Linked DNA regions of Danio rerio. The protein of the gene in region 1 interacts with the protein of each later gene in a biochemical or structural test. Links are inferred from orthologs where the notes say so. Each region holds a gene or a part of one and is shown in the gene's direction. Other genes may lie near its edges. The genes, in order: smurf2 and rnf11b.

Region 1 (4,451 bases):
TTTTTATTTTTTAAATGCATCCTACTGAGGAAAAAATATAAAGGGAAGTCTTGTTTCTTTTAGTTTGACTGGAATAACAAAAAATACAATTAAACTGTTAACTGGTGAGGTTGATGTAATTGGCCCGACTACTCTAAATCTCTGGATGCTAATCTTGCAAAATGACTAGTGATAATGATGTTTTGTTCTGATATTTAGTTACAATATTATTTGGTATAATCCCCTCTGACCCACACACAGTTATGACTCACTTTGGCTTCGTTATTTCAGATTGACTGAAAGAACTGATTAATCCAATTTTCTAGTCGCATAAATTAAGGAAACATCACAAACTTTCTGTCTGTGCATTTAAAGTTTTACTTAGTAAATGCATTTACTTTGTAGTCTGAGCACATTATTTTTATTCCAATAGTCCATTAATGCAAATAGGTAGATCTGGAACATGACATTATTTTGTTGTTCCTCTGTTAATATAACTTTGTTTTGTTTTTAGGCTGGAGAGAAGATTGGTGAGGTTGAAAAGCTGTGTTTGATGATTGAGGAGTGTGGTGGCCTGGACAAAATCGAAGCTTTGCAGTCTCATGAAAATGAAATGGTTTACAAGGCCTCCCTCAACTTAATTGAAAAATATTTCTCTGGAGAGGTGGGTTGATCAAATTTTGAATCTCTAGTTGCGCATTATGCATTCTTTTTTTGTGTGTGTAGAGTTTTATCAGTCTGCATATTAAAACTCTGAATTATTATACATTCCACAGACGGGATGGGGGGGGGGGGGGGGGGGTAATCTCAACTTTGAAGTTTAGTTTTATCTTTTGCTTTTAATTCTTTCAAGAACTGCTTTTCCTAAATCCCTGATTTCTGTCTTGCAGGAGGAAGAGGATGAATGTGTCGCACCTGAAGCTACAGATGATGGTTATGCATTCCAGATCAACGAAAACCAAAGCACTTTCAACTTCTAAATGTCTGACCTGTGAAATACTTTTGTATGATTGTTCCGATCATTTCTGCACGCCACTTATCTTGTTCATGTTTGTCTCTGTTTGGACCTCGTGCTCCAAGTTGTACATATGAATCTGTCAGTTTTAATTGTTGCAAATAAACCAACCGAAAAAGAACCAAAGTTGTTTTCTTCTATATTCAAGACATGGACTAAATAAAATATGAATAAACAATAAAGAGGAAAGACTGATGTTAACCGCCAAGTGAAATAAGTGTATATCCTACAGCACTATGAATATCAAGTAGGTCTGATGTCACAGTCTGGGCGGTTTAAGCGGCTCCACAGACACCTTGCAAACCACATTTCCTCAAATCGGTCGCCCATAAGCGATACAACTTTTCCCTCAAGGTCTTGGAATGGCAGTAGACGCCGAAAGCTGTTTGTTCGTGGAAAATATGTTAAACTTCGGGAGGTCTCTGTAAGCGGATCTTTTGAGGGGACGTCGTGGATTTACTTTCACAGACGGTAGAAATACGAGGAGCGCGTTAAAGCGTGTGTATGTATGCAGACATGGCAGGGCTGTGCACATCCGGGCCACAGGACCGTGACTCCATTATTTTCTGTTCACTGTGAAACTGGCGTTGAGGGGAACCAAAAAGCAACTCTGTAACACATTCGACCCGTTTTTTGTAGTAGTCAGCCTGGATAAGGGTCAAGGACATGTCTAATCAAGGAGTTAGAAGGAATGGACCCGTTAAGTTGCGTTTAACAGGTAAGGAATATGCGACATCGTACAGTTTCATCTGAAACTGGCTAGCTGGCTAACAGCTATTGCTGTAAGTCATTGTAGTTTTCTGCCTTTTACCGTGAACCTTCGCTTTGAAGAGCTCTGCGAGTGTGTTTATTTGTCAGATTATATGTTTTGGGTTATGGTGATAGTATGACTGAAACTGGCGTTTTGTTGCAGCGTTGCGTTCTTTAGCAGGTTGGACAACGTCATAATGGAGCCTCAATGGAGCGCGAACGCAACAATTACATTTCTTTAGCTTCAATTGTTTACATTCTTTTGGTTGCGTTGTGATTATCGTTTAAATACGCGCAGCTGCTGATGTGGACGATTGGCTTCGCGAAGAATACGGCTTATTGGCATGAATTGAATTCTTAAGCTTGCTTTATGTAGCCCGTTGCCCCAAATGCAAAATGTAAGAAATCACGTTGCTTCAGTCACTGCAATGCTAATCTGCGAGTGTTTATCTCAATTGTGTTTGAAAATGTTTGCACCAATTAGTACTGTAGACTACACTAAATACTACTAACTAGTGAGAATGGATATTACACGTTGCTTTATTAGATGGAAGAGTGCGGCAGAACATGCGTTAATATAGTATTTACCATAGAAAAGTTACACTGTTAAATGTTTATATATATATATATATATATATATATATATATATATATATATATATATATATATATATATATGCATCTGTATGTATATTTGTTACAACAACTTAGCAATAACTATTAATAACAGTCTACTGATTAATGCATGCGTTTAAAGCACGAGTTTGGTTTTTTCAAATTTCATAGTTAACATATTTTTCAGTTGTTTAGTATTATAATTATCCACATGCTTTTATTCGTAATGTTCTTGAACAGACTTTAGCTATTGTCTAAAAGTATTAAAAATAAATGTAAAAATTCTTACATATTCATTATCTGAAACAAAAAAATTACTTGTTTTATAAATTATACAAATCTTCACAATATAGGCAAACTACTACTCGTATACACTTTATCAGTGTGATTTGACTAACAGTAGAAAGACATACTATGATTTATGTTTATGTTAGCTATATATATTTTACAAATATTTCTTTTGTTCACCTGCATGCTAAGTTTAACATGATTTGAAATGCTATTTTATCTGACTTAAATGATTTTATTTTAGCTACACTGAATGGCTGTTACTTTAAAAGATGAGCAATTTATGCAAACATAAAGTAAGTTGTGTTTCCTGTGAGCGCTGCTGTTTCCTGTTAACCTCTCGGTTATGTTGGCCATTGTGCTTTAAGGACCCACCAATTGGCGACGAGACCCAACATTAAAGAACCAAAAAATGTAAATTGAATCAGTTCACGATTATCTAGCCGTCTGCATAAAAGTGTCTGTTCATGACCTCAGGGAATGCATTCCACAATGAAGTGGACTGTGCAGTGAAATCAACCTCCAAGTATGCAGCAGGATGTTGTAGTATTCATCATGACCCAGCACTGTGGTTGTGGGAGGAAGCTGCAGTCTGAGACACTTGAAGATTTGTCTGTGGGGCTCTTGAGATGTCTGGCTCGTGCATACAGAAAGAGCTCATTTTCCTCCCTGGTTGCTGTTGCACCCTTAAATGAGCTATTTTCACTTCGCCGTGGGTTGGAAAGAGGATAAAACTTTTACAATGACTGACCTGCTGTCATCTCTCAGCTTCTTACCAGTTTTCAGTGCTGCACTATATTGGAGATTAGCCTAGTTGCACTACAATGCAACCTTTTTTTCTAATTAAGACATCTTCTTTGGTTAAAACATTTAAATGCTAAAGCTCGTGTTTTAGTAGGATTATGACTTTAGAGTGGCTGATGCATATTTTTGAAGTATGTTAATGTGAATTTCATAAGCCATGCCAAACATTCTGATTTGCTTTGGAAAAGTTATTTTTAGTTTCTTACTTAAAAGTAAGAAATTAAGGTTGATCAGTGTAAATCATTGTAATACTGTTAGCACCAGACTTTGACTGATTTTTATTTACATTTAAATGTAAATGTACAATTTACATTTAGGATCATGGCGCTTAACAGGGTCTTAAGCGTTTTCAAAGAGCTTAGTTTTCGCAGGACAAAGATGCCAAATGTAACCACAACAAAACTTATGTGCAGGACACATGTGCAATCTGGCAGCCCGAAGTCCCAGGGCTATTGTTTTTTCAGTCGGGCTACCAAAATCTACACCGTGCATGGTTTAGATAGATTTTGGTTGTTTGTATTTCAAAGAAACCAAGTGAAACCACAACAAAAATCTGGTGGCGCAAAGTTCCAGGGCTATTGTTTTTTCAGTCTGGCTACCAAAATCTATCTAGATTATGCCCAGTGTAGATTTGGTAGCCCAAAGTCCTGGGGCTCTTGTTTTGTTGCTTTAAATTAAAAGATATCCTCACTAATGGGTGGGGCCTTCCCCCTCTGATGACATGTACAAAGGGAAGTTTTTATAAAGTGTGATTATAAAAAATAGAATTAATTAATTTTCACCTTTAGAAGCTAGCTATATTCCCACACTGTTGCCACAAAACTATTAAATCCCTTTTAAAAAGGATCTTTAAGTTCAACTTGGCAAGTTTATTACTACTCTTGAAACAAATTCAAAACAAACAATTCCAAACAAACCTTTGTCCTGTTAGTCATTATTTACTCAAAGTCCTGTTTAATCGCCGTCTAAGAATGGAAAATAAAAGATTGGACATTCTTCT
Region 2 (4,504 bases), on another chromosome or scaffold:
CATAGGGGAATTGAATAAGCTAAATTGGCCTTAGTTTATGAGTGTGTGAATTTGATGGTGTTATGGGTGTTACCCAGTACTGGGTTGTGGCTGGAAGGCCATCCGCTGTGTAAAACATATGCCGGAATAGTTGGCGGTTCATTTGGCTGTGGCGACTGCTGATAAATAAGTGACAAAGCCAAAGTAAAATTAACAAATGAATGATCTTTAAATACTATTGATTTTTAGTACTTTGTTGATGATGAATAAAAATTAATTATACATGTTTCCACAAACCTTAAATCCAGTAATAAAATAACATTTTTGTTGTAGTTTTAATTAGAGTAAAAACAAAGTCTCATCTTTCAAATGATTTTACTATTTTTGTCTTTTTTTTTTTTTGCCAAATATGTGAGAACATGCAAACTCAACACAGAAATGCCAACTGACTTTCTTTTTTGAGCTTTAAGGGGGCTTTTTTAAAGAGTTTACCCAGAAATTAGTTAAAGAGTTATAGTCTTGACAGTAATTAGTCGCTTTCAATTTGATAAAGTGTCAACTAAAAATAGTACCATTCAGAGTGAAATAAAATGTTATAAAACATCTATATCCACCAATTATTCTTATTCCTCTGAAGTTAAAACATTGGAATGGTATTGTCTAAATAAAATATATAAACACATACAGTTAAAGTCAGAATTTAGATTTTTTTTTCTTTTTTTAAATTTTTCTGAAATTATGTTTAACAGAGCAAGTAGATTTTAACAGTATGTCTGATAATATTTTTTCTTCTGGTAAAAATCTTATTTGTTTTATTTAGACTAGAATAAAAGCAGTTTTTAGTTTTTTAAAAACCATTTTAAGGTCATAATTACTGGCCCTTTTAAGCTATTTTTTTTTTTTGATAGTCTACAGAACAAACCATCGTTATACAATAACTTGCCTAATTAACCTATCCTGCCTAGTTAACCTAATTAACCTAGTTAAGCCTTTAAATGTCACTTTAATCTGAATACTAGTTTCTTGAAAAATATCTAGTAAAACATTATTTACGGTCATCATTATACTGTCATGTTATTAAAGATAAGTTATTAAAACTATCGTGTTTAGAAATGTTGAAAAAAACTCTGATAAACAGAAATTGGGGGAAAATATACATAAGGGGGCTAGTAATTCTGACATGGCATATCTGTAATTTTGAACGATTGTCATTGTATGCTCTGAATGACAACATGTTTATTTTACATTTAAGAAATTTCAGTAAAAATCACTGAAACAATCAGTAGCTAGCAGGAAAAAAAAACGGAAACTGAGAAATACGAATTCCCATATGGTATTTAAACAAGAAAAGCAATGAAGATATGAAAGACGACCCCTTTTTCTCCGGATTAACTTGGATGGATTTTTACCTCCGAATTGCACTTTAATCATCATGACATCGATTTGGTTATAATGTAGTAGTCACTCAGTTTAGTTATTCCTCCAATCTGTTCTTCAGGGGAAAGGGGAAAGTCGTGCGTTTTATTTTTCAAACTGACAATTTTACAATTGAAGTGAACTATGCCTTTAAATCGGCCTAATGCGGTCAAGTTTAAAGGCTTTAAACCCCTGTTGTTGGTGTTGTAAGTCTGCAATCTAATTGGGTGACGAGTATCCACTAATAGCGCCCTTACTACTGAAGACGCCTACTGATTGGTGGATTCTGTGCGGAGGCGGGACTTAGAATGACTGCCTGAAAGGCAACATTGCCTGAGTCGCCATTGAGAGCGAGCGCATATTTGATATTGTGGAAATTATCTCCTGGAAGGCTAACCAGTGTGTTTACTATTAAGACGAAGAGAAAGGGACAGCATTACATAAAGAGGCTTTAAATCAAAAAGACGTGTTTCACAGGTTTAGACTGTGTGAATTTATACAAACATCGTTTCATATCCGCGTATGACACTTTTTCCAGGCTTCTTTGTGTCGACAATGGTTTGTTTTTCTCCGTCAGGATCTCTCATGGTGATCGGATCGTTGTAAATGAATGATAGAGGGTTTTGTCGTCCTGTTTAAAGGGACAGAAGTCTGGTTGGAGTGATTAAGGGCGGAAGGGATAGGAAGGATTTCAACATTTAGACAACAAGGAGTTTGGAAAGGAGATGGGGAATTGTCTGAAATCTCCCACTTCGGATGATATCTCCTTGCTCCACGAATCCCAGTCAGACAGGGCCAGTTTCGGTGACGCCAACGATCCAGATCAGGAACCGCCACCTCCGTATCAGGTAAGCTTATAAAAACCATTAGAATACACAAAGAAACTTTGCTTTTGACTAATATAACGTGCCTTGTGTCCACCCTCCTGCTTCAATCATAACATGAACACTCGCAATTCATAATATCAAGCAAATAGACGTAAATATATCACCAACAGCAAGCTCCCGCAGGAGCTCCATCTGTTTAATTTCGCCCTAGAGTGTGTGCCATACTAAATCCTCTTTGTTCGACGTAAACTTGGCCTGCAGTTCACGTCAGACCATCCAGACAGATGGACAGTCTGTTATTTCATCTTTACTGCCGCCTCCGTGGCGTGTTGATTCACCAGCAGCAGCTTTATTGCGATAAAGGTAACCATTCTGGTTGTGACGATTCTTGTTTGCAGTTGTGACGTCATGTCGATGTTATTCTCCTTGCTCGAGTGTTACACAAACCTTTTAAAATATTCTGTTTTCTTCTCTTCACAGACTGTAAGGGCAAACTATATGTATTTAATTTAAATATTACTAATACTGATGTTGTACACATACACAATGTTACTACCTCACTATATATATATTTTTGCAAACTTCCGGGAAGAGAGCTTAAAAATGCTTATAATATGACAATGGGCTGCTCTACATTGTCCTTTAGTCAGAAGTGTTGGGAAGCCTTGCACTCGGGGATTTCCCCATTTTACGGACATGTGGAATCAGTTGAGGTCTAAGTCATGAGATCATGATATTTTAAAGTGATGTCATGCTTTACAAAACATAGTTCAAATGGAAGAACTGGGTTGGCCAGGGTCTTTTTGTTGGATGAAACAAACCATGTCGAAGCAGATAAACTTGTGTAGCACCGTAAGTGAACGTTTTATGTCCAGTCACTGTGTTTTGTAAGAAGCAACATGACTCAGAAGATGTCTGATCTGAAATGTTTGCAACTGTGGTGGCTGTTACATCCTCTTGTTGTGTTGACCTTATCTGTTTTACAAGAACTCTCCAACAAACTGATTGAGGTAAAATTGGTTTAATATTTAGACATTCAGACTTTCGCATTAATAATATAATTTCTGAAAATTAGTCTTTGCAAATCCTAAATAGTGAAATTATATTAGCAGCCAATGACTATTGAAGTACAACATTGTTCAGAGTCAAATAAGTAGTGATAATGTTGTTTAAAGTCATACTTGCGTGTGATTTCAGACCCAATGTTCAAAGTACCATAGTAAACATTATAAGAAGTGTGTCACAAGTAAGTTGTCACTGAAATAATGTGCAAATACAAAACCAACTTTACATTTATAACAAATAATAGTGAGCCGTTGACCGAAGCACAGATAATCTTGTATGCATCTTGAAAGCACACACAGTAATTTCCTCACAACTGATGTGACATAATATAATCTTATTAAGCAAAAGGAACATTCTCTTCAGTCTTAGTTTCAGTTTTTTTCAGCTGAAGGTGGGACGTTAAGTGCTGGACTACTTTCATTTATCAGTTGTGCTAACATTGTTGTCCAATTCATACATTCAAAACATGATTCAAAAATACACATATCCAATTTGTAAGTTTGAAACACGGTTCAGGCGAAGCAGTGGCGCAGAAGGGAGTGCTGTCGCCTCACAGCAAGAAGGTTGCTGGGTCGCTGGTTTGAGCCTCGGCTCCGTTTCTGTGTGGAGTTTGCATGTTCTCCCTGCGTTCGCGTGGGTTTCCTCCGGGTGCTCCGGTTTCCCCCACAGTCCAAAGACATGCGGTACAGGTGAATTGGGTAGTCTAAATTGTCCGTAGTGTATGAGTGTGTGTGTGTGAATGTGTGTGTGGATGTTTCCCAGAGATGGGTTGTGGCTGGAAGGGTATCCGAGGCGTAAAAACTTGCTGGATAAGTTGGCGATTCATTCTGCTGTGCGACCCCAGATTAATAAAGGGACTAAGCCGACAAGAAAGAAATGAAACACGGTTTAAAAATACACAATATATGAATTCCAAATATGATTTAAAAATACACTAATCCAACTCATACATTTGCAACATGATGTAAAAATACACAAATCCAATTCGTAAGTTAGAAACTTAGTTTAAGAATACACAATTCATACATTCGAAACATGATTCAAAAACACATGTCCAATTTGTAAGTTTGAAACACGGTTCAAAAATACACAATATATGAATTCCAAATACGATTTAAAAACACACAAATCCAATTTGTAAATTCAAAACATGATTTAAAAATACACTAATCCAATTCATACATTTGAAACACGATTAAAAAATACACAAATCCAAT

The links.
Region 2: the proteins of smurf2 (region 1) and rnf11b form a complex in vitro, tested with the Homo sapiens proteins (3 studies listed by BioGRID and IntAct, with this or other methods). The link is inferred for Danio rerio from reciprocal best matches to the Homo sapiens genes SMURF2 and RNF11.

Annotation. Positions count from the first base shown.
Region 1 is NC_133178.1:24,110,560-24,115,010, reverse strand, and holds the start of smurf2 (E3 ubiquitin-protein ligase SMURF2), read left to right. Parts: upstream 1-1,522; 5' UTR 1,523-1,660; coding exon 1,661-1,712; intron 1,713-4,451. Other genes in the region: kpna2 (importin subunit alpha-1), read left to right, coding at 494-643, 870-959. UniProt on the Homo sapiens protein: E3 ubiquitin-protein ligase which accepts ubiquitin from an E2 ubiquitin-conjugating enzyme in the form of a thioester and then directly transfers the ubiquitin to targeted substrates.
Region 2 is NC_133183.1:18,241,597-18,246,100, reverse strand, and holds the start of rnf11b (RING finger protein 11b), read left to right. Parts: upstream 1-1,692; 5' UTR 1,693-2,120; coding exon 2,121-2,243; intron 2,244-4,504. UniProt on the Homo sapiens protein: Essential component of a ubiquitin-editing protein complex, comprising also TNFAIP3, ITCH and TAX1BP1, that ensures the transient nature of inflammatory signaling pathways. Promotes the association of TNFAIP3 to RIPK1 after TNF stimulation.